3 linked regions of the Cricetulus griseus genome follow. The protein of the gene in region 1 purifies or fractionates together with the protein of each later gene. This does not show direct contact. Links are inferred from orthologs where the notes say so. Each region holds a gene or a part of one and is shown in the gene's direction. Other genes may lie near its edges.

Region 1 (7,536 bases):
CTCCCTCCTAGCCCTGGGATGCTCTGGGGCAAGTCCTTCTGTTCCCCTTGGGCTCGCAGTGGGAGGGGGTCATGTCTCTCCAGCTTGCTGGCAGCTTATGTAGGGCGCACACTCTATTCCTTGCCCTGTGCCCCCTTCCTTTCCCTCAGCCATATCTCCGAGGGGATATGTATCTTCTCTGTTGTCTTCTGGCCTTGGACCCTTGACTCAAGAGGATCACAAACTAGAAACTGATCAGGACCCAAAGTGGGCTTCAGATTTGGCTAGCAGAGGAAGCTGTGCTGTCTCATTAGCCCAAGGGTTTTCACCTGAGCCTGGCCAAGACCTTGAGCTGTGCAGCTTGCAGAGGGCTTGCCACATTCCTCACTTCCCTCACCAAAGTTTCTGCCCTGGCAGCCAGCGCCTTGGTCTCTGGGTGTTCCCAGAGTGGCCAAAAGTCTTGTGCAGACTCACGGAGCAAGTCCTTGCTAAATGCCTTGTCTAGACTCTAGGACGGAACTGAACTGAAGTGGGGAGGGTGGTGGGGGCAGATGCCGCCCCTGTGTGCAGGGACTATTGATTTGATCAGAGGGGTGGAGAGGTACGTTGGGCCAGCTGCAGCTGAGAGCTCTGGTTACTGCTGCCCTTCCAGCCCAGACTTGGCACTCACCACCTAAGCCATATGCCAAGGCCAGGCCAAGGGCAGCAGAGGACAGCAGGGCCCAATCTGGGCTCTTGCAGAAGCTAGCCTTGATACTGGTGGGAATGGTCTTCATTGTGTATATCTGACACTTGCCGGCAGGCAGGCAGGCAGGCATATGATTCAGAATTTGCTTCACGTGGGGCCAACAGCTGTCTGGCTGCTCTGGGCTTGTGGGGTGTGGTGGCTTGCTCAGCAGGAGGAAGGGAGGCATGCTTGCTCCTAACTTCCAAGCAGTTCTGTGCCAGTCCTCTCCTTTCATGATCGGAACCTTCTTAGAGAGCCATCCTTTTGTTCTTACACCTCTGTTCCAGTGTATGACAGGCAGGGGCTTCCTGTCTGGAGGTCCCTGGTAATGTGGCTTTCTTCTGCCCCCAGAGCCCTGCCCTTCCACCCTGCTACAGCAGCACATGGCAGATCTTCTACGACAAGGCCCTGATGTAGCACCTAGCTTCCTCAACAGTGTCCTTAACCAGCTTAACTGGGCCTTCTCTGAGTTCATCGGCATGATCCAGGAGGTGGGCTATGGTGTGTTGGGGTAGGGGTGGGCAGAGGCCAAGGCCAAGCACTGTTGCAAGGCCTCTCTGACTGCTACCTGCCTTTCTGTTGGTGACTTAGATTCAACAGGCTGCTGAACGCCTAGAGCGAAACTTTGTGGACAGCCGGCAGCTCAAGGTCTGTGCCACCTGCTTTGACCTCTCGGTTAGCTTGTTGCGAGTCTTGGAAATGACCATCACACTGGTGCCTGAGATATTCCTTGACTGGTCCCGTCCTACCTCTGAGATGCTGCTTCGGCGTCTTGCACAGGTGTGTCCATCTGGGCAAGGAGGGTAGGACCCGGGGATGGCTCAAGTGGTGCGCTTGCCATCCACCAATAGGCTCCTGCCCTCACAGCTGCTGAACCAGGTGCTGAACCGGGTGACAGCTGAGAGGAACCTGTTTGACCGTGTAGTCACCCTACGGCTTCCTGGTAAGGATCTAGATGCCCTGCACCTCAGCACACCAAGGCCTTAGTTTCTATGCCAGGAGCAACAGTGCTAGATTCTCCATTCGGTACCAGGACTGTTGCACTCCCAGCCTCAGTTTGCCTCTATGTAGGAAGAATGGTGGGAAGGGCCAGTGGTGTCGGGCAGGACTCGAGCTGCTGCCACAGCAGGAACCACATGAGTACTTCATCTTCCTTCCCTCCCCTCAGGCCTGGAGAGTGTGGACCACTACCCTATCCTGGTGGCAGTGACCGGCATCCTGGTACGCCTCCTGGTGCATGGTCCAGCCTCAGAGTGAGTGTTGGGGACTGTTGGCCCCATGGGAACTGGGTGTGCCCTTTGAGGAGGGGCTCATAGGGCAGGGACTCAGTGTACATGTTTCTCCGTCTCAAAATGGACCTCAGAATCTAGTTTGGGACACTGAGGCAAAGGTAGACGGTGAGGTGTGAGCAGGTGGTAACAGCAGCTGCTTTGGCTGGGTAGGATTAGCTTGCAGCCATGCCTCTGGCAGGGGCATAAATGCCAAAACTTGGAAGATGTGCCATCCTCTGATGGTCAGGGCCACCCTGCTGGATCAAGAGCCGAGCACACAAAGCTACCCATCTGGGAAGGCCTGGCAATGAACACGTACCATCTTTATTACAAAGTGCCTTGATAGTCATCTAGGACACACACGGGGCTGCCAGCTCCTCCTGGGAGGGGCTCCGACCTTCTTCCCTAACTGCCTGCAGGAGTGGTAGAGGCATGTGAGTTCAGGACACTGCTTTAGCCATTAGGCTGAGATAAGTACCAGTCCTTCAGAGGCCTTCTGCTCTCCAGGGACATGAGTCCCAGATTAGCCGTGTTCACCAGGCTTTTTCCTGCTGGGTTATGAGCCCATGGGATTGGCTCTACCTTTGGCTGAAGACAGCAGGGCTACTCTTGCGGGAGTGTCCTGAAAGAGTCATGCATGCCCACCAGACTCCACAGGAGTTGTAGAGCTTTCCGGAGGCTGGATGGTGGTAATAGACAGGGTTCTCTTGCAGCACAGGAAGGGCTCATTTATTCCTCCCATCCTAGAGTGGGAGCTGGATCTTCTGAGCTGCCTTCTCCCTCCTTGGTGAGCTCCCTGGCAAGGAAGGGAAGGTGGTATGCTTGACGTCTATACCACGTCTATACCACGCCTATAACATCTGCATCAATTCCTGAGGTGGTCCCAGAGCTCTAATGCAAGGGCTCTTACCAGATGGTCTTGGTCCCTAATCTTCATGGGACGTTTGGTCACTCAGAGATCCTAGGGGAAGCAGGCTCTAGTGGTCTGAGGCCTTATCCTGAGCCAGACAGAGCAGGAGGCAAGTGGGGGAGCCTCAGTCCCTTTACCAGTGAGTAGAACGGTCCCAGGACAGGTCAAGGCTCACGTGCAGTTAGGAGCAGGCACAGTGCATCCCACCAGCATCTGTCAGTTCTCTAGACTGCATCAGTGAACCAGGCAAGCAGCAGCAGGTCTATGGCCAGTGTGGGGACACCCAGGCGGTCTAGGTCATCATGAGACCCTCTGAGCCTGTGGAACTGGCTGACTCGGAGCCAACCTTGAACTGCAACTCCATGGGGTTGCTCAGATCGAAGTCTTCAGCTACAGCTAGCTGCACACGGCCATTGAGACCTTTCTTGCCCGGCTCCAGGAAGACCACATGCTTGTGGACACTGGCCTTGCGGCTGGGTGCGTCTGGTGGTGTAGTGCTGAGCACTGAGGACTGTGCACTCAGCTCCTGGAGTGGACTGGGGGCTCGGGGCCAGCAGCAGTTACGGCAGGCCCGCCGGCAACAGTGACAGCAGCCACGACAGGGTGGTGCAAACAAGTAGAGCAATACCAGCACCAGGCCCACGATACAGCCCAGCAATGTGGTGAAGCCTGTGTTGAAAGCCTCTGGCTCAGGGCGAGGTTTATGTACACTCACATTGAACTCTAGTGTCTGGTTGTGGTGCAGGCGGGGCCCAGTTGCCAGGCACACAAAGATGCCCGCATGTTGCTCTTGCACCCTGCCTATCGCTAAGCTGCCGTCAGCCAACACAGCAATGCTGCCATCCTGAGATCCTGGTGCCACAAGCAGCTCATTTTTCGGTGAAACCCAGGCCACTCGTGCAGCGGGCACGCTGGTGTTGCAGTAGAGCCTCAGGGACTGCCCCACCTGTGTGTCCAGCTGCTTTTCAGGCAGTTCTAAGCCTAGAGCTGCAGTAGCTGAGCAGTTCTCAAACACCCGGCTGTGCTCAAAGAAGCGCACTCGGGACTCTGAGACCTTGAAGGCCAAGCATGTGTACTCACGTGCAAAATCACGCAGGGCACTTAGACCCCGCTGGTGCCAGCGCTGGAGCAGGTGGTAGAGGCGGCAGTCACAGGGCAGTGGGTTGTTGTGCAGGTAGAGCCCATTCTTGAGGAAAGCTGGCAGTGCAGCCAACCCGGAGACGGAGATGTGTCCCAGCCAGTTGGAGGATAGGTCTAGAGTGCGCAGGTGGGTGGTCCCCAGACCATGCAGACCATTGAAAGAAAAAGAGGCGAGTTCATTGCAGCTGAGATAGAGGTGTCTGAGCATCCTCAGGCCCTGGAAGGCATCCGGGTCCAAGTGCACCAGTTTGTTATTGAACAGGAGCAATCTCTCCAGCCCCCCCAGTCCATCCAGGTCATGCGTGTGGAGTATCCTCAACATATTAGACGATAAGTCAAGTGTCCTGAGGCCACTGGCATTGGTGAAGACACCATGGCCCAGCACATCCAATTTATTGTAGCCTAGGTACAGGGCACGAAGCCGGGAGAGGGGTGCTAACCAGCCAGGGTGCAGGCGTTCGAGTGCATTGTGGCTTAAATCGAGTTCTGCAGCCGTGGCAGGCAATGCTACCGGCACGTCCTGTAAGCCATGGCCAGCGCAGCTTAACACATCGGCAGCACAGATGCAGTTATTGGGGCAGTCGTGGGGAGCAGGGGGCAGAGCGGCCTCCAGATCTGAGGTGCCTGACCCAGCACTCAGCATGCACAGCAGTATGCCTGGCACCACCAGCCCGGCCATGGCAGTGGCCACCAGGGAAGAGATGGGGGGCTCAGTGCTGTCCACAGCTCCGGGACTCACCCACTTCTCTACAGCCTTGCGGGTTGTGGTTCCCTGTGGCCCATGGCTTGAGAGGCACAATGCCGGCTCCACCGGCCCAGCTGCCTCCTGCTCTTCTGGTCTGGGGTTGTGAGGTGGGGCCCCAGCCCTTCTTTAAGCTCGCTAGCTTCTTCAAACGCTTTTCTGACTGGATTCTAAGTACTCACTAGGAAGTGACTGCCCAGGGGTGGGGACCCAAGCTCCCATTGGCTCCTACTGCTAAGGGGCGGGGCAGCCCTGGCACTCGAAGACCCAGTGTGACCACCAGAGGGCCCCAGTGTCTTCAGTTCGCTTGGCTGGAAGCCTGACTTCCTCCCTATTTAAGAGCAAAAGAGCTTAAGTCTGGGGAGAAAGTTTTTTGTGGCTAATGTTCTCTAAGTGATTTTGAAGGATTAATGTATATTAGGTTAGGTGGAATCCGCACCCTTCTCCCTTTAGATTTACTTGTGTGTTGGTGTGTGTGGGGAGGTGTCATGCAGAAAGTCAGAAGACAATTGGTGGGAGTGGTTTTTTTCTTCCATTCTGTGGTTCCTGGGGATCACATTCAAGTTGTGACATTTGGTAGCAAGCAGCTTTCCCCTATGAGCCATCAACAACACCTCTTCCCTTTAAACTGGTAATAGGCCGTTCTGGACCTACTGGGACCCAGGACTTCAGAGGGTTGGTAAACAACAAGATGTAAAGAATGCAGGCATAATAATGAGGCCTCTGGATTGGACGTCACCCCCTCCCCCATGGAGACAATGTCCACACAGGCTCACAGCTTCCCCACTGCCTCTGCACCTTCCCATCTAGGACAGAGCAAGCCACCTCTGTGCTCCTGGCTGATCCCTGCTTCCAGCTCCGGTCCATATGCTACCTCCTGGGGCAGCCAGAGCCCCTAGCACCTGGCACTGCCTTGCCCGCCCCTGACCGGAAGCGCTTCTCTCTACAGAGCTGTAAGTGGGTCAGGGTTGGGTCAGGAAAGAGTTTCAGGGTCTCCTGAGCTCAGGATCCTCAGGAATAGCAAATTTCCTGCCTGGGAGTATCCAAGAGGCACTGAGCTCTGGGCCTAGGAGGGGCCTGACACCACCTACCACTAACCCAGACACAGACTACATCAGTGCAGAGGAGCTCGCCCAGGTGGAGCAGATGCTGGCACACCTGACAGCTGCGTCGGCCCAGGCAGCTGCTGCCTCCCTGGTGAGTGGGGCTAAGACACACAGGCCGGCCCATGCCATTTTAATACATCCGTATACACCAGGGTAGGTACAGGCATAGCCCCAACCCACTCTTCACTCTCCATCCCGTAGCCCACCAGTGAAGAGGACCTCTGCCCAATCTGCTATGCCCACCCCATTTCTGCTGTGTTCCAGCCTTGTGGCCACAAATCCTGCAAGTAAGTGGGCACATGGACTTGGGGTGGCAACTAGGCCACACAAGGCAGTGCTCACTCCCCTTCCTCCTGTAGAGCCTGCATCAACCAGCACCTGATGAACAACAAGGACTGCTTCTTCTGCAAAGCCACCATTGCATCCGTAGAGGACTGGGACAAGGCAGCCAGCACAAGTGCCGCCTCCTCAGCTACCTAGGCCAGCCCGATGCACACAGCTTGCACCGTCCTGGAGCCTCCACCATCAGACCCAGACTGAGCCCTATTTATGAGCTCTCTTGGCCTTTCCCCCATCACCCTCACTCTTACCATCTCCACCCATCTGCCCGTGTGTAGCCTCAATGGTGGCAGCCCAGCCATGGCCCTAATTATGCCTGAGCTTGACTTGCAATCCAGGCCACAGTGAGCATTAAATTATTATTCCATACAGCCCTGGCCCCAGCTCTTCTTGAGGGAGTAGGGCTTGTGGGTTATGCCCAGCAGGATCCTGTCAGTTTCTGTCCCCATCAGAAGGCACATGTCCAACAGCTTCGGATTTCTCCATCCCTCCCTAGACAGACGGCGCCAAGTCCAGGGTCTGCTGAGGTGTTGAGTGATGGTGAAGGGGGCTTGGCCAGCCCTGCATATCCTTCACATGATAATACGAGGCTCCGGCACCGACTCCCCGATAGACTTGTGGGGCAGCACGCTGGCTCCATTGAGGTAGAGTTCATCACTGACAATGACATCCTCGCCCAGCACTGTTACGTTCTCCATGCGCACCTGGGGTGGGGAAGCAAGTCTTGTCAGTGGAGCACACAGGTTCCCTGCTCGTGTCCTCATCCAGCTCAGCTCACAGACTTACCCACTGACCCACACGGCAGCGCCAGCCCACGATGCACGACTCAAGCCAGGAGTGGGAGCGGATGTGCGCATCCCGAAGCACCGTGCACCGCCGGACACACACGCCGTCCTCCACCACCACACCGGGACCCAGACTCACATTGGGGCCAATGCTGCAGTTCTGACCAATACGGGCGCTTGGGTCCTGAGAGTGGTGAGGAAAGTCAGAGTGGGTCATTTGTCTCCCAAATCTGAAAGGATTAGTGACAGGCTGGGCAAGGGCCTCACCACAAGCACATTCCCCACAATGCCAGGGCCTGAACACAGTCTCTCTGGGTGCTTCTGTCTCAGGGACTGCAGGAAGAGGCACATGCCAGTGAGGAAGTCCTTGGGCTGTCCAATGTCCATCCAGAAGCCTGGAGGGAGAGATGAGTCAGAGGGCTCTGCCTAGCCACAGACGACCCCTCACCCTATGGCCTCTCTGCCTCACCAGGAAGTTCCATGGCATATAGCTGCCCCTCCTGGGCCATAACTGGGAAGACCTCCTTCTCAATGGAT
Region 2 (11,121 bases), on another chromosome or scaffold:
AGTAGCCTGTCTCAGCACTAGATCACATACCTGTGCCTGGTGGGCAGAAAGGATATTTTAAAGATTAATTTTTAAATTTTTATTTGTATATTTGTGCAAGTCTATGTTTCTATGCCTGCAGAGGCCAGAGAGGATATCTAACGCCCTGGGGCTAGAGTTACAGATGGTTGTGAGCCTCCTGAAGTGGGTGCTGGGAACTGGACGTAGGTCCTGTGGAAGAGCAGCAAGCAGTCTTAACTGCTGAGCTGTCTCTACAGTCCCAGGATGTGCTCTTTTAAAGGGCAGTCACCTTTGTTTAACACCTTTTCCTGTTTCAGGGGTCTGGACTTTCTAATATATGCTTTGAAATGCCAGGGAGAGTGTTGATCTCAGGGAAGGAAGGATCAGGCCAACTCTTGGGCTGGATTCATGGCCCCATAGCAGATGAGCTATTTTGGAGTCTCTTCTGGGTCCAGGGATATAGGAGAGTGCCTGGGCTTCACGCCCTCCTTATCTTTGGCCACCTGGCCATGGTGGTGTGGGTGTGGGTACAGTCAGGCAGCAAATGGGCAGGCTGCTCCATCCATCTTCACAAGACAGATCCTGGGCCACCCCCTGCTTTCCAGAGCTGATGGCGAGCTCAGATTACAGTTCTAGCGTTTAGACTTGAAGTCCCTGTAACTATTAAGAACATAGTTCTGACCTCTAACTGTGTGGCCTGCTGCTTGCTTAGGGTACTTAATTAGGGTACTTACTCAGAGTACCTAGCTAGTAGCTTGCTAGAGCTGCCTTAACTTAGTATATAACTACAGAGTGAAACACCATAGCATTATTGAAAATTCTAAGTAAAAAACAATGCAATTATTAAGAGTTAAAAGAGTACTAAAAATCTAACAAAAAAATATCATGCTGGACTCACATTTCCTAAAGGAAGTCATTCATAACTATTTGTAAGTGTTGGGGACAGATCTAGCTGTCTTATGCTTGCCACTGAAACCCACCCCAGAACGCCTCTAGTCTTCCAGCTGTTACCCTTGGCAGTTCTCTCCCTGCTTTCTAGATACTCTGCATTCATTCTCTTTCTGCCATTACCAGTGTTGGATTATGGCTTCTTAGTGATAAGGATATAGCTCCCCTCCTAGCCTCCTTCCCTCCAGTGATAATAGAAGGTTGGGTGAAGTCTATTTAGTGTTTACTTACTGTTCTAGTTTGGGTTTTTATTGCTGTGAAGAGACACCATGACCGCGACAACTCTTACAAATAAAACTTTTAATTGGGGTGGTTCGCTTACAGTTTCAGAGGTTCAGTCCATTATCATCATGATGGGGAGCATGGCAGAATGCAGGCAGACGTGGTGCTGGAGCAGCTGAAAGTCCTGCATCTTACGGGCAACAGGAAGTCAACTGACTGTTTTCCCTCAAACAGACCTCAAAGCCCGCCCCCATAGTGACACACTTCCTTCAACAAGCCACATTCTAACAGTGCCACTCCTTTTGGGTGCCATTTTCTTTCAAACTACCACAGTCCACTCCCTTGGCCCCCAAGGGCTTATAGTCATATCATAATGCAAAAAGTGCACTCAGTCCAACTTCAAGAGTCCCCCTAGTCTATAACAGTCTCAAACTTGTTTCAAAGTCCAAAGTCTTTTCTGCTTACCTGGCAATCTCCTTAATTATAATCCCCCTGTAAAAATCAAATTAAGAAATCAGATCACATATTTCCAACATACAATGGCACAGAATATACATCACCATTCCAAAAGGCTGGGAAGGGAGCATAACGAGGAAATACTAGACAAAAGCAAGACCAAAAACCACCTGGGCAAACTCCAAACTCTGCAGCTCCATGTTTGATGTCCAAATGCTCTTCAGATCTCCAACTTTGTTCAGCTTTGTTTACCACAGCAAACTTCTTTCTTTTGGGCTGTTTCTACTCCCTGTCAGCAGCTCTCCTTGGCAGGTATCCCACGAGTCTGGCATCTCTGACATCTTGGGTTTTTTAAAGGCAATACAGGCTTTCACTTCACCTCTTCAGGCAGTGGCCTCTCTGGGCCTCCATTCAGGGACACCCCTGACACATGCCTGGCCTTAGTGGCTTTATTCTATCACTCCTTTCTTATATCCTTAATTCTAAAGCCAGAACCGTATGGCCAAAGCTGCCAAGTTCTGCTGCTTACTGGGGCTGGAACATGACCCCCTTGTTTAATTACATCTTCGCCAGCTTTCTGTCTTTCACTGCCTAAGCTTGGCTGTCCTGAAACTGGATCTCTAGACCAGGCTGGCCTAAAACTCAGAGCTCTTCCTCCCCACAGCCTCTGCCTTCGTAGTACTGGGATTAAAGGTGTGTCCCACCACCCCTAGCTCTAAACTTTTCTTCAGTTTCATCTCACAAGTTGGAAACTTAGCTGGGTGGGATCTTGCCCTGAGGTCACCACCCCCTTTATTCCATTTCTTAATCCATTTATCTCCTTGAACAGAGGATTTAGTTCCATTCCACTTTCTGGTGCCCTTTTTCTCCTCAAATATTTTTTCCTTGCTCAGCTTGCTCCTCTTTATTACATATCTTCATTAGAGTTAACACTAATATCCATATGACAGAATCTATACTAAGATATTTTGAGATTTCTTCTGCCAGTGGAATTAATCCAAAACTCTTCACTTAAGCCCCAGGCAGACTCTTTGGACAAGGGCAAAAGGCAGCCACTTCCTTCACCAAAATATCATGAGAATATCTCTAGGCAACATACTAAAATTCTTCTCTGAGTGAGAATTCAAAAATTCTCACTCAGAGTTAGAAAATTCTTCTATGGAGTGAGCCTCCCAAAGTTCAAATAACTTAACACCACTGTCTTCCATGTTCCTACTAGTATGGCCTATTAAGCAGTGCTCAAGGAGTCCACTACTTTTCAAACCCAAAGTACCACAGTCCAAATTCTTCCAAGCACATGGTTAGGCCTATCACAGCAATACCCCAGTCCCTGGTACCAGCTTCTGTACCAGGGACTGTACACAATGACCACTGCAACTCTTATAAAGGAAACAATTAACTGGGAAGACTTGCTTACAGTTTCAGAGGTTCAGTACTAAGGCTTGTGAGGACAGAAGGCTCAGCTGACTCTTGTGCATTCCTTTCTGAGGTTGTGGGAGATCGCTTTCATGCAGCTGACAGTTCCTTAGGCTTGGTGTGGCACACGCCTTTAATCCCAGTCCTGGGGAAGCAGGCAGTTGGATCTCTGAATTCGAGGCCAGCCTGGTCTACAGAGTGAGCTCCAAGACAGCCAGAGCTAGGGGCAGGGAAATATTTTTTTTTTCTCAAGAGCTAATTCTCATTGGAAGCACCCTCTCAGGCATACCACAGGTGTGCTTTACTAACTTCTCTCAACCCACAGTTGACTGTGAAGATTAACCATTTCACAGGGGTAGGTGGAACGTGACTCATCTTGGTCTTCAGGCTTGGTGTTCCACATCTGATCTGAACTGACAGTTTTACTTTGGCCTTTACAGTTTGGCTTCTGTAACCAACTCCTTTTCCTGCTCCAGTCTGACAGAAACCTGAGATCCCTGTGCCCTGAGGAGTTATGGAATTTCTTTTTTTTTTTGTTTTGTTTTGTTTTGTTTGTTTTTCGAGACAGGGTTTCTCTGTGACTTTGGAGGCCGTCCTGGAACTAGCTCTTGTAACCCCTTTACCTTGCTGTTTTGGCTCTTGCCTGGTGTGGACAAGCTGGGTTGGTGTGGCTCTGGTTTGCAGGTAGTGAGGTACCCACTTTCCTTACCTGTTCGTCCTCCTCTTCCTCCTCACTACCTCCTTACACCCCTAGCCTCTGCGAGCCCTGGAAGCTATATGGCTTGTGCCAGCTGCTGAGCTCTCTGGGGTAGAGAACTTGTTGCACCCATCCTACTCCTCAGTCTCACCTATTCTGGTTGGTTTGATGATTTTGTGAGTAGCTGGGGTGAACAGGAAGCAAAGCAGTAGCAGGGTGCTGGAAGGTTCTCCCCTTCCCTCTTTTCCCTCCCTCTCTTCAGAACAGCCTCTCACTCTAGGCTCTCAGGTTTCACCAGACTGTTGTTGGCCAAGGCCAGTAGGTACAAGTATCATTCTGGCTCTTGGATCCCAGGCCTGTCTTTTCTGGCACCAGTATCCCAGTGCTCTTGAGTAGGTTGCATCTTAGTAGGCTGTGTCCTGTGGGCTCTTTGCATCCTGTGGGCTCTTTGCATCCTGTGGGCTCTTTGCATCCTGTGTGTGCCTTCTTGTGCCTTCTGAACATGCCAAGTGCTGCTTCCTCTGCTGGTTTGATTTTCTCTCCTGTCTTCCTTATCTGTGAGCTTCTGCCACCTTCATCCTTTCCTTTCATTCGTGGAGGCTTCACTACAGCCCTGGAGGCCTCAGCCCCAGCTCCACCAAAGTACTACAGGACTGCCACTCCTGCAGCCTCAACCTCTCTGTCTTCACCTGCATATGGTTTATAGCACGTGAGATCATGTCCTAAGCATCTTGTTAGGCTTCTGCCTCTAATGCGGTGCCCGAAACTTCCCAGAATCTTCTAGCTCAAGGGCATCATCACAGCTAAAGCTTAGGAGGTTACTGTTCTCCATGTGGGCTGTTGGTCCAAGTTTGTTGTCATACTCCTCATGTTCTTGGGTTCTTCCTTTCTGACTTGAATCATTTTCTCTTCAGAAGAAACAAGAGCAGAAGGCTCCAGACAAAGATGCTATCCTCCGGGCAACAGCCAACCTGCCTGCTTGTAGCACAGACCGGACTGCAGTTCAAACCACCATGAGAGACGTGAGTACCTGCCTGGTGTGGAACTGGGGGCATGTCCTGTGGGATAACAAGAAGTTCTTTAAAAGTGCTTGGGGTTGGTGTGGTGACATTCAGGACGCTGAGGCAGGAGGATGGCTTGAGCTCAGGTTTGAGGCTAACATGGATGTTATAGTCATCCCCTCATCCCACCCCCATCCTCCCCCCCAAAAAAAAACAAAAAAAAGGGAATCTGAAACAGAATGTTCAGGAACTCTTTACTACTTTTGGACTCTTCTATAAATTACATTTTTTTTTTTTCAAACTACAAAGTTGACGAGATATCTATAGCCCTGGACAGACAGCTGTAGGGAAATGCAGTGACTTTGCTCTGAATTCAACAAAGCTTCCAGGGAGGAATCTGAGCTCCCCAATTACTTTGGACAAGAAAACTAAGTCAGAAGCCTACAGCATGCTAACGTGGGTTAGTCCATGATAAAGTATGCTTCTGTATGCAGGAATTGTGGAAAGTGGCCAGCATTCAGCTTTATCAGTTCTGGATCCATACTGGTACTGCTGGAAGCCGAACCTCTCTGGGGTCTTTTTTGAAGAGTTCCATTTTTTTTTTTTTTTTTAAGATTTATTTATTTATTATGTATACAGTGTTCTGTCTGCATGTGTCTCTGCAGACCAGAAGAGGGCGCCAGATCTCATTTTAGATGGTTGTGAGCCATCATGTGGTTGCTGGGAATTGAACTCAAGACCTTTGAAAGAGCAGCCAGTCTTCTTAACCTCTGAGCCATCTCTCCAGCCCCAAAGAGTTCCATTTGATAAGAGCTTTGTAATTCTTCTGCAGTGGCTGGCACATGTGTCCCTCTCTGGTTTCTGTGGGTCCAACCCTGGATAGGGTCTCAGGAGGCTTTAGGCTTGTAATGTCCCACCTCCAGGCCCAGTATCAGGCAGGGGACTGGTGCTAGAGTGGAGGTAAGGAGTCTCTGATGTCGCCAGTCTGTTATTGAGACAGAGTCTCATTGTAGATCAGGATGGCCTTGAATTCACATCTGTCTGCCTCTGCCATCCAGGTGCTGGGATTAAAGGTGAAGGCCAAATGCTCTCATAGATTTGGAGGGCTATGTTCAGGGGTAGAGTTGCAGATCTAATTAGGTTTGTTGGACATTCAGAGAAATGATCTTTTCTTTCTTTCTTTCTTTCTTTTTGAGACAGGGTTTCACCGTATAGCTTAGGTTGGCCTCAAACTCCCAGCAGTCTTCCTGCCTCAGCCTTGCAAGAGCAGGGATTACAGGTGTGCATCACTGTGCCAGGCATGATCTCTTTCTTCATTCTACTACAGTTCCAGACCGAACTCCGGAAGATCTTGGTGTCTCTCATTGAGGTGGCACAGAAGCTGTTAGCACTGAATCCTGATGCAGTTGAATTGTTTAAGAAGGCAAATGGTATGAGTGGGTCCTAGCCTGCACCCGCCAACTGTCTGCTCAAGCCTCAGAATGTGTCCCCAGCCCTCACATTGAAAGCAGGTTCTGCTTTCAGTTGATTATGGGGTGGGTGTGTGTGGCTCCTGGCCTGTTGTGTGGCCATTCCTAATGTGTAAGAGCTGATGTTAGGGCCTGAGTTTTCTGTGGCATCAGTAATTGCTAAGAGCCTTTGCAGTTGAGACTACGGAGCTTCAAAGGGCTTAGGAATCCCCTCATGACAGGTTTTCTCTTTTTTCTCAGCTATGCTGGATGAAGATGAGGATGAGCGAGTGGATGAGACTGCCTTACGGCAGCTCACAGAAATGGGCTTTCCTGAGAGCAGAGCCTCAAAGGCCCTTCGGCTGAACCAGTCAGTATGCTCTCTTTCTTCCCTTTTTGGAACTTGGCCTGGGCTTCCCTGTGATTCCCCCTCCCAAACTCTGATGGAATCATACTTTTTTTATTGTTTATTTTAAGTGTGTGTGTGTGTGTGTGTGTGTGTGTGTGTGTGTTGAGGATCTCTGTTACCTATGCTGGTCTTGAACTCCTGGATTCATGCAATCCTTTTGCTTCAGGCTCCTGAGTAGCTGGGACTAAAGGTGTGAACCACCATACCTGGCTGTTAAGAGAGCCAAAAAATCAGTCTGTAAATGTGCCCTGCACCTTCAAGTTAGGAGAGCTCTAAGCCAAACTTGCCCCTGGTCTGGACAGGAGTTCTTTCATAGTCTTCTTAACACTTCTGGTTTCAGTTACTCAGGTCCCATATGAATGCTGTAGGCTAGAGCTGGTTAATCGTTGTGTTCTTTGTGCTGTGGACCTAGGACCTAGACTCCTTTGTCCCTTTGTTTGGGGTACATGTCTGTGCTTGCTTTGTTGGGTCTTGGGAGTTCAAGGTAAGGGCTATGTGGAGGTTTCCATCCCAAGAGATCATCTGCCACTGTTGCTGCTGCTATTCTTGTTGTCTCTGTTGAAACACATGTTGTTGGAGCATATGGGATAGGAAAGTCTCTAATGACTGTCCTGGGGGAGTTGAGAAGAATCGTCTCTTTTCAGCATGTCAGTGCCTCAGGCCATGGAGTGGTTAATTGAACACTCCGAAGATCCAGCTATTGACACACCTCTTCCAGGCCACGACCCCCAAGCAGGGGCAGGTGCTGCAGCTACCACCTCCACCTCTCCTGAAGCTGCTGTGGGAACTAGCGCTGGAGATGAGGAAGTCCGGGATGAGCTCACAGAAATCTTCAAGAAGATCCGAAGGAAAAGGGAATTCCGAGCCGATGCTCGGGTAGGTAATGGGGGCCTCAGCATGAGGTTGACTTTGTGGTTGTGTTGTGCAAGGAAGCTGGGAGGCCAGGAGTCTGGGTGGGATGGGAGTTCCCATTGAAACTTGGGCAGACTTGAATCATATATATACATTATATATTTCATAATTATATATTATATAATTCATGTTTGGGTCCAGTTGACTTCTTTCTGCTCAGTGACATCTCCTGAAAATCTGAGTGTGCAAGCTTCTGTCTGTCACAAGTGTGCTCCTGCAGCTGTTGTTGTGGCCTTTGGACTGGTGGGCAGTATCCAGAGAGCTGGAGGAACATGTTGTGGGAGTCCATTATGCTGGCTGGCTACTGGGATAAGGACCCAGGATCCAGGATACTTGTCCACCCTCCCTCAGTTGCCACAAATGCACACTCATGGCCCCACCTCATCATTACCACAGGCTGATGCTCTCTTGTCTTTGTGTTCTTTATTCCCTGTCCTGTTCTTTGCTGGGGTTTTAATTCTTCCTTTGATCTTTCACTTTCCTTCAGGTACAGATCTTCCCACTCAGGGCTCACACTACTTGCTCTCCAGATTTTGGCATGTTGAATACATGGTTTTCTCAGGGCCTTGTCTGTGGCTTGTATTTTCCTTAGCAGTCCATTGGCCAGGTCAAGAGATTCTAGAGATAAATGGGGACTTGACTCTTGCAGGACTGAGGAGAATGGTGAGCTAGGGCCTGTATTTAGTCAGCTGCCCTGGTATAGTCATGTGCAGTACCAATGCACTTCCAAGGCTCTGACTTCTGTCCTTGGCTGTAGAGACAAAACATTTCATGCTTTGCCCTTGCTTTAATTTAAGCAAGGGTCCCAGTGCCCTTTCCTACCTCATGTGTGCTAAGTGTTATCCACTGCCTGTGACTGACTGAAACAAACCTGTACTGCATATGGTAATGCTCCTTGGTGGGCGGTGTCCTCTGGTGAGGTGCTGACCAGCTTGTTCTTCCCTCTTAGGCTGTCATTTCACTGATGGAGATGGGCTTTGATGAGAAGGAAGTGATTGATGCACTCCGAGTGAACAACAACCAGCAGAATGCAGCTGTGAGTGCCAGCCAATCCCACTCTGAGCATCTAATGTTGCCTTTACCTCATGTGGCAGTGGGAACGTCCCTTGTGTTGGGATTTCCATACATAGTTGGTGATGGTACTTATTATTATGTGAAATACTTAGGGCAGATGTTTCAAACAGAAACTGAGAAAATCCTGTACCCACAATGCCTTTTGTGTGGGTTTTTTAACTGTTATAAGATCAAATTCCATAGGATGGGTGTCTTGGTGCACACCTTCAGTCTCAGCGCTTGTGAGGCAGAGGCGGGCGGGTCTTTGAGTTCAGGGCCAGCCAGGGCTACACAGAGAAACCTTGTCTCAAAGAAACAAAACAAACAAACAGAAAAGATTGAATACCATGCCATGAACACATAGCAGCTGTTGCCAGTCTCTCTGTCCAGGGAGGACTGTGACCTCCTCACTTGTGTGTGGAGTTGAGGCTCAGATAACTGAGACGCAGTTCTGCATGCAGACTTTCCAAGCTCATTAGCTGTGGAGAGATATTGTCATAATGGGGTTCCCTCAAGTAAAGCCAGTGTTAGGGACTGTGTTGTGACCAAGGTCATGTCAAATTGAATTGCAACGCCAGGTCTGCTAAAAACGTCTGGTTGATGCTTCCTTCTGTTTCTATCCTGGCTGAATGTGGACCAGGTTTGTTCATGTTAGGGCCCCTTCCTGGTACTGCAGCAGTGGAGGCTTGTGGAGAACCACAGAAAGGGAAAGGTAAGCCTCAGGTACTTTGAGAAGGTACTAATGGCTCCTCTGATGTTCTTGGGTTTTTAGTGTGAATGGCTGCTAGGGGACCGGAAGCCATCCCCTGAGGAGTTGGACCAGGGCATCGATCCAAATAGCCCTCTCTTTCAGGCAATCCTGGACAACCCAGTGGTGCAATTGGGTTTGACAAACCCTAAGACATTGCTAGGTACGTGTGTCTACTTAGGCCAGCTTGGGTAGGGGACACATGGTGGATGGGTTCCCTGCCACAAGACACAGGTGCTAGTGAGATGGTTTGGGCCCTGCTAATGTGCCATGCCAGTTGACTACTGCAAGACATTTTTAGGCATTTTAGCTGTGCTGCTTAAAGCCTGGTCCCTGGAAGTTAGGCTCCGTCTTGGTGGGATGGGTTTTTGCAGAGCAGTGGCCTGCATGGGGATAGTAGCTGAGATGGTGTGTTTCAGCTTTCCTTATTATTTATAAGGCACTTCTCTGAAAATTATTTTACTTGTTTCGTTTTTTTGTTTTTTGAGACAGGGTTTCTCTGTGTAACTTTGGAACCTGTCCTGGCACTCACTCTGTAGACCAGGCTGGCCTCGAACTCACGGAGATCTGCCTGCCCCGGCCTCCCAAGTTCTGGAATTAAAGGCATGCACCACCAATGCCCGGCTATTTTTACTTATGATATATATTAAAAATCTGCCAGGTGGTGGTGGCACACACCTTTAATCCCTGCATTCAGTAGGCAGAGGTAGACAGATCCTTGTGTGAGTTTGCCAGGCTGTTTGTAGATCTTAAAAAATTGATAGGTACTGTCTTGGGATCTGACCAGAGGACTTTTTGTGTGTGTGCTGGGGATCCAGGGCCTGGCATGCTAAGTACACACTCTGTGACTGAGCTTTCTTGTCACATGTCACTATGGGTCTTGCTGTGTGGAGGTCAGTGTGTTTTAAGGTACATTTGGTCAGGTAAAAGAAACTGGGTGTTTAGTCTTCTCTTTTTTAGACCACCATATATATATGTGTGTGTGTCTGTAGCTAGTGCCACCCCTTTCCTCCTTTTCTGAAATAACCCTCCCAGAGTGAGCACCTTAGTCTGCAACTGCTTGGGTATGGGCCAGTAGACAGGACCCAGATCATAGACTGCTCTCCCAGCCACAGTCTGTTCACAGGGCGGGGCTGCAGCCACCCTGCCTAACAGGACTGAGCTGCCTGCAGCAGTGGCACTTGGCTCTCGGCCACATCTGCACTGCAGACCCGTGCCATCTATGCAGTATTCCTGTGAAGGTCCACAACAGCCAGGATGGCCTGCTTGTACCATCCCCTGCAAGGGTCACACCCTTTTCAAGCTCTAATTAGATATTTTTGATAATGTTTAATAATAAAATTAAAACAACTACCGTGGGCTGGCTCAGTGAATAAAGATTCTTGCCACCAAATGTGACAACTTGAGGCCAATCCCCGGAACTCAGAGTAGGAGAGAACCAGCTTTTTCAAATTGCCCTCTGACCTCCTTGCACACTGAGGCCTGCCCTCCCATTAGGTAAAGAGATTAACTTAAAAAATTAAGAAATCCCCAAACCCATGGCCTTTATGTTTTAGCAGAAATATATTTTAGGAAATTTGTAAGTACAAGTCACCTTGACTCCCTTTTGGTGTGTGTCATTGTGGTGCTGCTGTTTTTCAGGTCTTGCTGGTCTGCTTAGGCTGGCCCTAAGCCTGTACTGCCCTCACGCCTTAGCCTTCCATGTGCTAGGTGTGCCACTGTTTCTGGCTTCTGGGCATTTGGATGTCTGTGCTAGTGGGACAGTGGTCCTGCAGTATTGTTTGTGTGACTCTCACGAACATGGAGGCACT
Region 3 (11,121 bases), on another chromosome or scaffold:
AGCAGTTACGTCCTGCCTAACACAATATTACAATTAGGATATTGCAGCAGGCACAATCCACACATCTGAATCAGATTTTACTAATTTTGCATGCATGTACATATAGATAGCTCTGTAGGGTTTTTTTCCCCAAGCCAAACATGGTGTATATGCTTGTGGTCCCTGTTATTCAGGAGGCTGAGGCAGGAAGAGTCCTTGAGCATAGATGTTCAAATGCAGCCTGGGTGACAGAGGCAACTATCTCTAAAATGAGTGAATGAACATATAAATAGTCATGAGCACATTCGTACATGTGTAAGCAGCCTTGTACTGGATCTTGGCTCTACAGCATTCACCCAGACAGTTCCTTGTACAGCTGGTTTGTTGTTGTTGATCCCAAAGAGAATACTGTAGCACCCCCTAGCTAGCTGCTCACTATTCAGCTGGATACACATCATTGCAGGGAGTGTCTGCCTTGTGTCCTTCTGTCCTTGGGTCACAAGTTGGGTTCCTAGGGTGGTGTGAGCCCTGAGCTCCACAGACAGCTCCTAAGGATTAACTTGAGCTCCAGCTTTACAACTGTTTAAGATATAATCTTATAGAGGTTAAGATTTAGAAACCTAAAAAATCGCCATGGCAACTTGGGTGTTGGTGGCCCACCTTCCCCTGCTTCTCCAGCCAGGAACTGTTCCCTGAATAGGAGGTTGGGCAAGTTCTCACTGCACAGCCGGACTTCATTGTGCCGCTCCTAGGAAGCAGACAGGCTTGTACTGAAGGAAATGTTACTCTCTATCTGTGATCTCGGTTCTTTGACAGACACTTTCATAATTGTGTTAGTCTTGCTTATTTCTGGAAACAGCTTTCCAGGCATCTCACTTGCATCCCTGGAAGCACAGTGTTGTGTTCAGAAAGACCTTTCATTACCTATTATGTATAGTAACTGGGATTGTTTTTTACCTGAGCCTTCTTAGGGAGACTGCTGTATTGTCCTAACTATGCCAATTAGAACCCAGGAACACCTTTGATGATGTTAGGTATAGCTTGTAACAGTAGGCTTCTTGAAGCCAGCCCACAGCAATGTGTTCTAATTTAGCAAATGTATTTCCATGCCACTGTAGAAGGATGGTACCTTTGTTGGTTGTTTTTTGTTTTGTTTTGTTGATGTCTATTTGCATTTCTTCATTAAAACCGCAACTCTGGTTGGATTTGCCAACATACAGAATTACCATCTGTAGATAAAAAATTAAAAAAAAAACAAAACTAAATTTGCTTCTAGGTGAATTAAAATATCAGCAATTGGACTGAGACAAAAGCAGAAGTACTAAGCATTTTAAATTTATCCTATAATTCTAACTGTTGCGTGCTGGTTCCCTCCTTGGGCCTATGAGCCTACCATGTGAAACAGGAAGCCCCTGACAAAGCCAAGAGTTAATCTGGGAGTGACAAATGGCCCTAAGTACGACTCTTGCTGCAGTGATGACTATGAAGCCAGGGGCTACAGGTGTTCACATCCAACTAGCGACTCTCCTGCCCTTTCTCTAACTAGACACCTTTGCACTTGGCCGTAATCACCAAGCAGGAAGATGTGGTGGAGGACTTGCTGAGGGTTGGGGCTGACCTGAGCCTTCTGGACCGCTGGGGTAACTCTGCTCTGCACCTGGCTGCCAGAGAAGGGCACGACAAGATCCTCAGTGTCCTGCTCAAGAACAGAAAGGCGACACTCCTTATAGACCACCCCAATGGGGAAGGTAAGGGCAGCTGCATTGCTGTATAACCTTCCCCACTCAGCTTCTCCACATTGCTTGATGCTTGATAAATGTGTGGACCTTGACCTTGACCCACAAGTGTTCTCTTGGCCAACCAGAGTTCATCCTATCTTGTGGCTATTTCTGCTGTTTACCACAACAAACTCCTTTAAGGTGATTTGGGAGCATTACTTATTAAGTGGAAAAAGCAGGCCTGAGCAAACACTGGCTTTAAACTATAGAAAGTATCATTTATGTGGAGAATGTTTATTTAGTAACTCAGTGTCTCCTGTGAGCATAATAGGAGCTTGTGAATTCTAAAAGCAGAACAGTGGGCCTTCAGAGCCTTTGAAGCATGTCCTGAACAGAAACCGGAAGTGCTGCAAGCTAGTGGCATCCCTCCTTCCCACAGTCCAGTTTTGCCAGTCCCGCCCACATCTGAATCTTTGCTTGGCCTTAGGTCTAAATGCCATTCACATAGCTGTGATGAGCAATAGCCTGCCATGTCTACTGCTGCTTGTGGCTGCTGGGGCAGAAGTCAATGCTCAGGAGCAGAAGTCTGGGCGCACAGCACTGCACCTGGCCGTGGAGTACGACAACATCTCGTTGGCTGGCTGCCTGCTTCTGGAGGTAAAGGGCATACTTGTGATCTTGAATTAAATCCCTAAGGGAATTTTAGGGAAGTCTTTTCAAAGAATGACGCCAGTGCCAGCTGTGCTGTCAGGATTCGGCCCTGCTTAGCATCTGCATGAGTTCAGAGGGGCCACTTCCTGCATCCCCAGCTCCAGCCCCTCTCTAACTGGGGACTTCTTCAATGACCAGCCAGCCCAGTGCAGCAGTGGTGCGAATGATATAACCTGAGAGAGAGGCCATGCAGATAGAGAGAGGCCACGCAGGTGGGGCGGTAGAGACAAGTGGAGACGAGGGCCTTCTGCTCACTCTTTCTTTGTGGGTGGATATAGGGCGATGCCCACGTGGACAGTACCACCTATGATGGGACTACACCGCTACATATAGCAGCTGGCAGAGGCTCCACCAGACTGGCAGCTCTTCTGAAAGCAGCAGGTAAGATGGCCTGCCGGTCACTGATGGACATGGACACCAGCCATGCAAACTCTGCCTGAGGGTGCAAAGCTAAAGCTTCCTCCTTTAGCTGCAGTTGGGCTCCTGGAAAGTGTGGGTAGAGGAGAGCTACCTGGCTGATCACACTTTGCTTACAGCAGAGGCTCTGTCTGGCCCTGTGATCCTGGGTTTACCTTGATGGCCACGTCATGAAACATTAAAGCTTGCTAGCATTCACTGCCTTTATTGTGTTCCAGGCACCGTGCTGGCCTCCCACATACACGCTCCTTTACCACACTTAATCCGAAGTAACTCTCTGAGATCAGTACTGTTGTTGTTAATCCCATTTTACTGCCAAGAAGACAGACCGGAAAGATGAGCAGGCCCTACTTGCAGTGTCCTAGACAGCTATGAGTCACAGTGCCACAGCCTGGACCTACAGACTTTTATCCTCTGCCCGGTGTTTCTTCCTAAGGCAATCTTCTAGGTAGCTCTCTAGTCCTGTAAAGCATAAGGAAATTCTCCAGCTCATCTGGTCTCCAATGCCTTGTGCTTTTGTGTTAACACATGGCTGATGAGATTGTCATTTCTGGCTTGTTGAGACATACCTAATTTACTTCAGAAGTCATTTTAGAAAAGATTTGTGGAAGGCACATTCTTCATAGATTCAAGCAAACTGAATTATATATGGATTGTGTAGTAAAGGTAGAAAAACAAAGTAAAATAAGCAACAGCCTTTTTCTCCTTAGTTAAATTGTACTTTGTTTTACCCAAGGAGCCCCAGTTGAGTACATGTGAGTCATTTTAGAAGTCAATGATTATACTTAAAAAAAAAAAAATGTCTCTTAGCCAGACATAGTGTTGTGCACCTGTAATCCCAACACTCAGGTGGCTGAAGCAGGAGAATTGCCACAAGCTTTGGCCAGTTTGGTCCATGTAGTTCTGAGCCAACCAAAGATACATACTGTTTCAGAAGTAAAAGCATAATTTACAAATGTAAAGGTTTTTACTTGAATTCACCATGAAAAGATAGCAAATATTAGCTTGTGTGATGCAAAGACAAAAAGCCCAGGCTGGCATCCTGAAGGTCACATCCTGAAGGGACCATGTGTGGCCCTCAGGACTTCAAACCCGTTTCCCCATCACACTCCTGGCCGTGTTGTGCTTACATTCTAATAGAGCAGACCAGGCTGCCGAGGGCAGCAAGACATCCAGCAGACTGGCTGTATTGAGCAAGACAGAGAAGCAGGTGAGATGTGTGCATTGGTAGATGTAGATCTGAAGATTCAGGACTTAACCCTGAAGGTGCATCCTGGTCCCTGTAAGTTGCCACCTGTACATCATTCAATGAAATACATCCTACAGAATTGCAAGTCAGAGTATTTGATGTCCTTTGTTTGTAATCATGTCCTTGGCTATAGAAAAATCCTTTGGTAGATTTTCAGTAAGAGTAGGTTAAAACTTAAAAAGCCATTTTCAATTTTACTAGAAATAAACATTAACATGTAATTGCCTCTGTGAGCTCGATGAAATTGCCCTTAGAAATGTGACTGTGTGTGCAGTTGGGAGTTGACAAGCTTTGGATTTTACATAACACCATATTGCCTGATTCCATAGGAGCAGACCCCCTGGTGGAGAACTTTGAGCCTCTCTATGACCTGGACGACTCTTGGGAGAAGGCTGGAGAGGATGAGGGAGTGGTGCCAGGTACCACACCCCTGGACATGGCTGCCAACTCTCAGGTGAGCCCTGCCCAGTTCATCTCATGGTGTTTGGGGGGAGCCGGTGGCTCAGGAGTGTTAAAAACAGATGGTCTTGTTGGCACTCTCCTCTTTAGAGAACGTGTCTTTGTATGAAGTCTGCTGAGCAAGAGGCGTATTTATCTTGAAATGCCTATCCAGGAGAGATCTAGGTCAGCTGAGGCCTGAGTGTGAAGCTGTTTGCTTAATCAGATCAGAGTTGAGATGGGAGAAGTTAGAAAAGCACAGAACCCACAGAAGAGTCACCCCTTCAGTGCACGGGACCAGAACCTTGCCATCTCCATCAGAAGCTAGCGTGAAGGGTTTCTGAGCATAAAAATAAACTAGGAATTCCTTTGTGGATTTCCATGAACACATTAAAACCCTTCCTTAAGACTCAGCAGTGGTTAAACTTAAAGGAGGAGGCAGTCACTAGGGATTTGTGCCAAGAGAAAAGAGCCAGAGGGCAGAGTACACAGTGAAGGATCTGAGACAGTCAGTTTGTATGGGTGCGACAGCGCCTCAGCTATACTGCACGCCTCCTGGGAACCTGTTTGCTGGCCTGGGTGTCCCTGCAGGGAACACAGAAGACTGACCCACCACAGTGGCCTGTGATGGTCCTAACCTGTGCACCACCAGCAGAGGAACTTCAGAGAACACCAGGGTAGCTTGTGGTTAAGGACTTTTAAACGTCATTTATGGAAATATTTTCCTATTTTCTTCTGTCTAACAGGTCTTTGACATACTGAATGGGAAACCATATGAGCCTGTGTTCACATCTGATGATGTACTACCACAAGGTGAGTTGTGGCCGAGCAGATTCTCTCAGCCAGTGTAGCCCCCACCCTCAGCCCCATGCTGTGGATTATGGGGGCGGGGTTTTGGGAATGGTTACAGGGTTTGCTACACAAGGCCCTGTTCTTATTTCAGAGTCAGAGCCCTGGGGGATGGGAAAGGGGGGAGCCTGGCCCTGATCTGATACAAGCATAGGCTGCCACTACTCAGCTGGGGCTCTGGACTTTCTAGAAGCTTCATTGCTTCCAGCAGAAGTTGGGGAGCAAAATGACAATGACGGGTCCTCTCCGACTGATTGTCCCTGGAAGGGTAAAGCCGCTGTGGTTCTTCCTTAGGAGACATGAAGCAGCTGACAGAAGACACAAGGCTGCAGCTCTACAAGCTGCTGGAGATCCCTGATCCAGACAAAAACTGGGCCACTCTGGCACAGAAGTTAGGTCTGGGGATCCTAAATAATGCTTTCCGGCTGAGTCCTGCCCCTTCTAAAACTCTGATGGACAACTACGAGGTAAGGAAGGCGCCACCTGCCATTTGTAGTTGTTTGTGTGACTGTTCGTGGTTGACCACTAGCATCACTGACCAGGGCACAATCCCTCCTCTATGAAGTAATTCTGAGGAAGAAAGCCAGCCATCGCCTAGGGCGCTGGGAGGCAAAAGGGACCCAGGGTAGGATGGAAGCCTGTCTTCCTGAGAAGACTGGCCACCTGCCTCTAGACATGCCCTGTTTCCACGTCCTCAGAGCCTTCCTGCACAAAATGCTACTGACCACACAACGGGGACCTAAGCTCTGATCGGTGTGCACAGCCCCTGTTTCCAAGAGGGGGACCCAGGGCCATGGGTTCATGAGGTGACTCCTATTGGAACAATTCTAAACCAAAAAGGAGAAAACCATGGGGAGATTATTGTGCATGAGGCTGTCCTTGTTAGCCACTGTCTTCCCTGACTTCTGAGCCCAGATGTCACTGCAAGCAGTCTCCCTACGTCAGTAAACTCACAAGCTTCTCTCTCTCCTGCCCCTCTTTTCTTTCCCTATCTTTCATCCTCCTCTCCATCTCCCTCTCCTCTCCCTCTCCATCTCTCCTGTGATTTCCTGAGTGATTTTTGGTCCAAGATGGGAAATAGAACTTAAACACTGTATTTCCTCGGGTACTCCTCTCTCTGCACTCCCCAGACCCACCAGGCTCTCTGGAGCAGACACAGGGAAGAAGGGATAGATGTCTGCGAAGGGGCTGGAACACGAACATACTCTCCATTTTCCTACCAGGTCTCTGGGGGCACCATCAAAGAGCTGATGGAGGCCCTGCGACAGATGGGCTACACAGAGGCCATTGAAGTGATCCAGGCAGACTTCTGCACCCCGGAAACCACAGCCTCCAGCCCTGTGACCACTGCTCAGGCCCACATGCTGCCTCTCTCATCTTCTTCCACAAGGCAGCACTTAGGTAAAGAGGCTGAGAAATCTCCTTTGCTCTGTGATGTGGCGCTACAGTTCCTTTTCCCAGTCTTTTCCTGGACACATCATCCCCTGTGGCACGCCACTCGCTCCCCACCATGCTCCCATGCACATGAAGGGGCCTTTCCCAAAGACACTCACATCGGTACATGGGTCACTGGCATTCTTATTAAACATTGGATGTTGGGGTTGAAGAAACACTATTGCTCATATCTGTTAAATTTAAAGAGACTCTCTAAAGGTTTAAAGAGAGATGAATAGCCCTGCGTTCACAAGACAAGGGACAGCACCCAGGCAATATGCATAAAGTATGACCGTTTCTTCCATGCCACCCTCCCTCAGCTCCTCCACCCTTCCACCAGCCGTCTCCTTCAGCTGCCGTCCGCACTCATGGTCCTGACTCATTTGCCCACATTAACAGTGCCACCTGTCATTCCCCCAAAACATAAATTTGTAGGATTGGAGCTCAGTATAGACCACGAACCCTGTCTTTCTTACCATTTTGTTATTCTACCTTATTCAGACCATTTTATGCTTTCTCTAAACTCAACACCCCTTTCTTCCTGCTCACCTTGTATGCCACAAGACTCCATTAAAAACAAAAAACTAACAAAAAAAACAGAAACAATTAGCAGTCTCTCATCTTTGCACCATGCCAGTACCCACATGGGAGACCTTCCATCTGGGCTCAGTAGGCTGTGTGACTGCCCTCTACCTGGGGACCTCCCTCTCATCTCCAGCAGGTCCTGGCTCCCTGATTCTTGCCTCTTGTTCTGTGTTGCCAGTTCCTCCCCCGCCTGATGTGGGAACCTCGTTATCAGGCTGTAATTTTCTCAACCTTAAAGAGCATAAGTTTAGAGATAATAAAACATCACTTCCTTTTACATTCCTTAGCTGGGTCCAAGCCTCTCAGAAGAATAGTTTTAAAGTTTCTACCCACCTCGTCACCTCTGGCCACTTCTTGACCCCTTGGGCCTGGTTCTGTCCCCACCACTCTCCTCATATGACCTCACATGTCCCAGACGAGCCACCATCTGCTCATGATGTTGATGTGTCAGTCGTGGCTGATGGTGCTCCTCAGTGTCCACTCAGGGCTTTTCAGCAGCACGTGCACTGTGCCGCCTCCCCTCACTGCTCTTTACTGGCAGGCCCAGTCCTACACATGCTTCTCTGCAGAGTGTGTGCATGTGTGAGCTTCGTGCGTGCGTGCGTGCGTGTGTGTCTGTGTGTTCGCTTGGTCTCCTTATGGCATTTCTGTACACTTAGTCCTGGTTTTTCCTCTCACCACTCCCTCTTCCACCCTCCAGCCGCCCATGCCCCACTCCTGTCCTCCCTTGTACCCTTCCTCCCCAATCTTTCACTTCCACTTTCACCTGTGTTCTATTACCCTCCCTACACTGTTCCCTCCTTTTAAAGCCCCCCAAAGACCCCTTCGTAGTTTCCTGGCCGCTACCCATATTTACTCCCACATAAATACACATGTGGCCTTTGGAAGCTAGGATCTCTGGCTTACCTTGATTAGTGTTTTCCAATTCCACCCATTTCCCTGCAGATTGCATCTTTCTTGATGGCTGAATAAATCCTATTATCTGCACACAACTCTTTAGTCTTCACAAACTCATATTGGCCACATCTGTCAAAAGTATAGCCCTCCTCCAGACGAAGACAAAATCTAAGAGTTGCCATGAACATTTTCTGGTGCTCAACACCTGTTCAGCCCAGCAAGTTCCCTTCTCTTTGTGACAGCTGCCCCGTCCAGCCCATCCTCACTCATTTCTTGCCTGAGCTCTGGCAGTGGCTGTTTCTTTGCTGACTCCCTCCCTCCATCTGTTCTCTGCACCACAGTGATGTGACAAAATGGGGCTCCTATCATGATTAAAAAGTAAATACTTAGCAGCCAGGACGGTGGCAAATGTGACAGCCTGACTTTCTCCTCCAGTGTCTTTGAAAAAGCCAGAAGGATGACAAATACCTGTAACCCCAGTTGCCCAAGCCTGGAGCAAGAAGGGACAGCAAGGGAGGTGGATCCTTGGGGCTCATTGGTTAGTCAGAAAAGACAAGATGGAGAGTAGTCAAGGCAGTCACCCGATGTGAACTCCACACATGTACACACACCTCAGAAGGAGGAAAGATTGGTTTGGGCTCACAGTCTATAGGTCCCATGGTCTGTTGCCTTCAGATATGGCAACCCCTTCATTGTGGACGAAGCACATGGTAGAGGAATCCTGTCACTTCAGGGTGTTCGGAAAGCACACAGAGATGGGGAGGAGCCAGAGCCCAGTATCTGTTTCCAGGCCACACCCCCAGTGACCTAACTTCCTTCTTTTGAGGCCCTACCTTCAAAAAGTTGTACTCCCACCATATGTCACAGGCTACTAACAGGCCTTTTCTTAACACAGCTTTTGGTGTTATTTTAAGATCCAAACCATAATAAACATCAAGCCTTTAAAATACTCCACAGTCTCTATTACGTAACAGATAACAAAGACTATTGATTGGAGTTAGCACCAGGACAACACCACGGTATTGTCATTGAAGTCTCAGTTCTGGTGTTAAGATTCAATGATGAGAATCAAGCATTTGCTTAGTGTGTGTTAGGTTTCTGTTTCCTTAGTCCCTCTGTACAGAGACTAATCTGCTCTGGTCAGGTCCCAAGGATGCTTTCCAACAAACAGAATTTAAGTTTTTAGTATAGACACATTTTTTACAAAATAGTTTCATTTTCTCACACCAAGAAAATTCTAGGCAATGTGTGTTATTTAATAGCTCATACAGCCCAAAGAGAGATCTCATTTTTAGCTCCTACTTCTGTTATGAATTTATTTTGTCATATGTTCAGCAGTTTTCCTGGCTATAAAAAACTAATAGAGCAGTTAGAAAAATATGCCTTGTTTCTAAGGGGAAAATATGTATATTCTGAATCAAGAGAAATCAGAAAGGATTCCAACAAACAGAAGTCGAGATTTCAAAAGAAAGATGTCCTCTTGGCCAACTCTGACTACAGCAGTTTTTGTTTTTAATGTCATTTGCTATCTCATGCCCTTCATGCCGCTGTAAGCAACGCTGTTGAGCATGGGTGGCCAGGTGGGCTGCAGTGGCTGATGGAAGCTAGCAAACACATCCCTCTGTACAGCTGTCCACAGAAGATCTAGGTCAGGGAGCTCCACTGCTGTAGAAGGTGGGGGTTGGTTTTATTATAATGCTGTGATAAAACACTCTGACCAAAAGTAACTTAGAGGAAAGGGGTTTATTTCAGCTTACAGCTTACCATCCATCATAGAGGGAAGTCAGGGCTGGAACTCTAAATCAGAAACCATGGTGGACTGCTGCTTGCTGCCTCACTGGTTCATGCTTTCCTAGCTTTCTTACACAGCCCAGGACCACCTCTCAGGAAGGGATGCGGTCTATAGTAGGTAGGCCATCTTACCTCAGTTAACAACGGAGACAGCCCCACTCAGGCATGCCCCCGGACCAGTGTCGTCTGGGCAGTTCCTCCCTTGAGACTCTCTTCAGTTCACAGTTGGAGATGATGACTAGGACAGTGGGGAAGAACAACGGCATTGCCTTGGCCCAGCCAAGCCACCAATGAATTTGTGCTTTCTCCACAGATGAGCTCCAGGACAGTGACAGCATCTGTGACAGTGGTGTGGAGACATCCTTCCGCAAACTCAGCTTTACAGAGTCTCTGCCTGGAGACAGCTCACTGCTATCTCTGAACAAAATGCCCCACAATTATGGGCAGGAAGGACCTATAGAAGGCAAAATTTAGCCTGCTGGCCATTTCCCACACTGTGTAAACCAAAGCCTGAAATTCCATTGCATCAATCCAGAGGAGGAAGGCAGAGTGAATCCAAAGGTGCTGGAGGATTACCGGCCCACCGGGTCATTCTTGATTTCATTCAAGGCCTTCCGAATTTGGCTTCCTTTCTGGGTTCTAAAATGAACTTTAGTTGTCACATTCAGATGGTATCTAGCAATCACAGCACTCAGCTGTGGCTTGGGGTATGGTGGCTTGAGCTTTTCCAGCTGCTCCTGGATTACACTTGCTTTGTGTTGTTGCTGCTGTCCCTCTGCTGGGTCCCTGCTGTCATTAAAAGGTATCACTGTCCCCACCTGGTGTTCTTTCTAGCCATCTACAGTACAGTTGTGCATTCAAATTAAGGTTAAGGAAAAAGATATTTTTAAATGAGTACCTTGATGAGTAATAAAAAAAGATTGCTTTTTCTAATGTGGTTTATCTGTGATTTTAGAAAAACACATGAACTTAACAATATTTAAAAGATGCTACAATCCATGCTGAGAATATTATTTCCCCTTCTGCATTTTACTATTGTAAATATGTTTTCTA

What was found.
Region 2: the proteins of Rnf123 (region 1) and Ubac1 purify together in Homo sapiens (affinity purification with mass spectrometry; 7 studies listed by BioGRID and IntAct, counting the BioPlex papers as one, with this or other methods). This does not show direct contact. The link is inferred for Cricetulus griseus from reciprocal best matches to the Homo sapiens genes RNF123 and UBAC1.
Region 3: the proteins of Rnf123 (region 1) and Nfkb1 purify together in Homo sapiens (affinity purification with western blotting; 4 studies listed by BioGRID). This does not show direct contact. The link is inferred for Cricetulus griseus from reciprocal best matches to the Homo sapiens genes RNF123 and NFKB1.

Annotation. Positions count from the first base shown.
Region 1 is NC_048597.1:216,245,034-216,252,569, reverse strand, and holds the end of Rnf123 (E3 ubiquitin-protein ligase RNF123), read left to right. Parts: intron 1-1,057; coding exon 1,058-1,197; intron 1,198-1,297; coding exon 1,298-1,486; intron 1,487-1,557; exon of another isoform or gene 1,558-1,573; coding exon 1,574-1,649; intron 1,650-1,874; coding exon 1,875-1,959; intron 1,960-2,279; exon of another isoform or gene 2,280-3,179; coding exon of another isoform or gene 3,180-4,706; exon of another isoform or gene 4,707-5,579; coding exon 5,580-5,722; intron 5,723-5,871; coding exon 5,872-5,966; intron 5,967-6,076; coding exon 6,077-6,162; intron 6,163-6,234; coding exon 6,235-6,355; 3' UTR 6,356-6,585; downstream 6,586-7,536. Other genes in the region: Amigo3 (amphoterin-induced protein 3), read right to left, coding at 3,180-4,706; Gmppb (mannose-1-phosphate guanyltransferase beta), read right to left, coding at 6,787-6,918, 7,001-7,183, 7,267-7,394, 7,469-7,536. UniProt on the Homo sapiens protein: Catalytic subunit of the KPC complex that acts as E3 ubiquitin-protein ligase. Promotes the ubiquitination and proteasome-mediated degradation of CDKN1B which is the cyclin-dependent kinase inhibitor at the G0-G1 transition of the cell cycle.
Region 2 is NC_048599.1:137,381,926-137,393,046, reverse strand, and holds part of Ubac1 (ubiquitin-associated domain-containing protein 1), read left to right. Parts: intron 1-4,653; coding exon 4,654-4,761; intron 4,762-6,067; coding exon 6,068-6,170; intron 6,171-6,449; coding exon 6,450-6,558; intron 6,559-7,241; coding exon 7,242-7,473; intron 7,474-8,458; coding exon 8,459-8,545; intron 8,546-9,334; coding exon 9,335-9,473; intron 9,474-11,121.
Region 3 is NW_023276806.1:23,895,834-23,906,954, forward strand, and holds part of Nfkb1 (nuclear factor NF-kappa-B p105 subunit), read left to right. Parts: intron 1-1,525; coding exon 1,526-1,727; intron 1,728-2,184; coding exon 2,185-2,354; intron 2,355-2,686; coding exon 2,687-2,789; intron 2,790-4,403; coding exon 4,404-4,528; intron 4,529-5,258; coding exon 5,259-5,325; intron 5,326-5,655; coding exon 5,656-5,828; intron 5,829-6,584; coding exon 6,585-6,762; intron 6,763-10,381; coding exon 10,382-10,542; 3' UTR 10,543-11,121.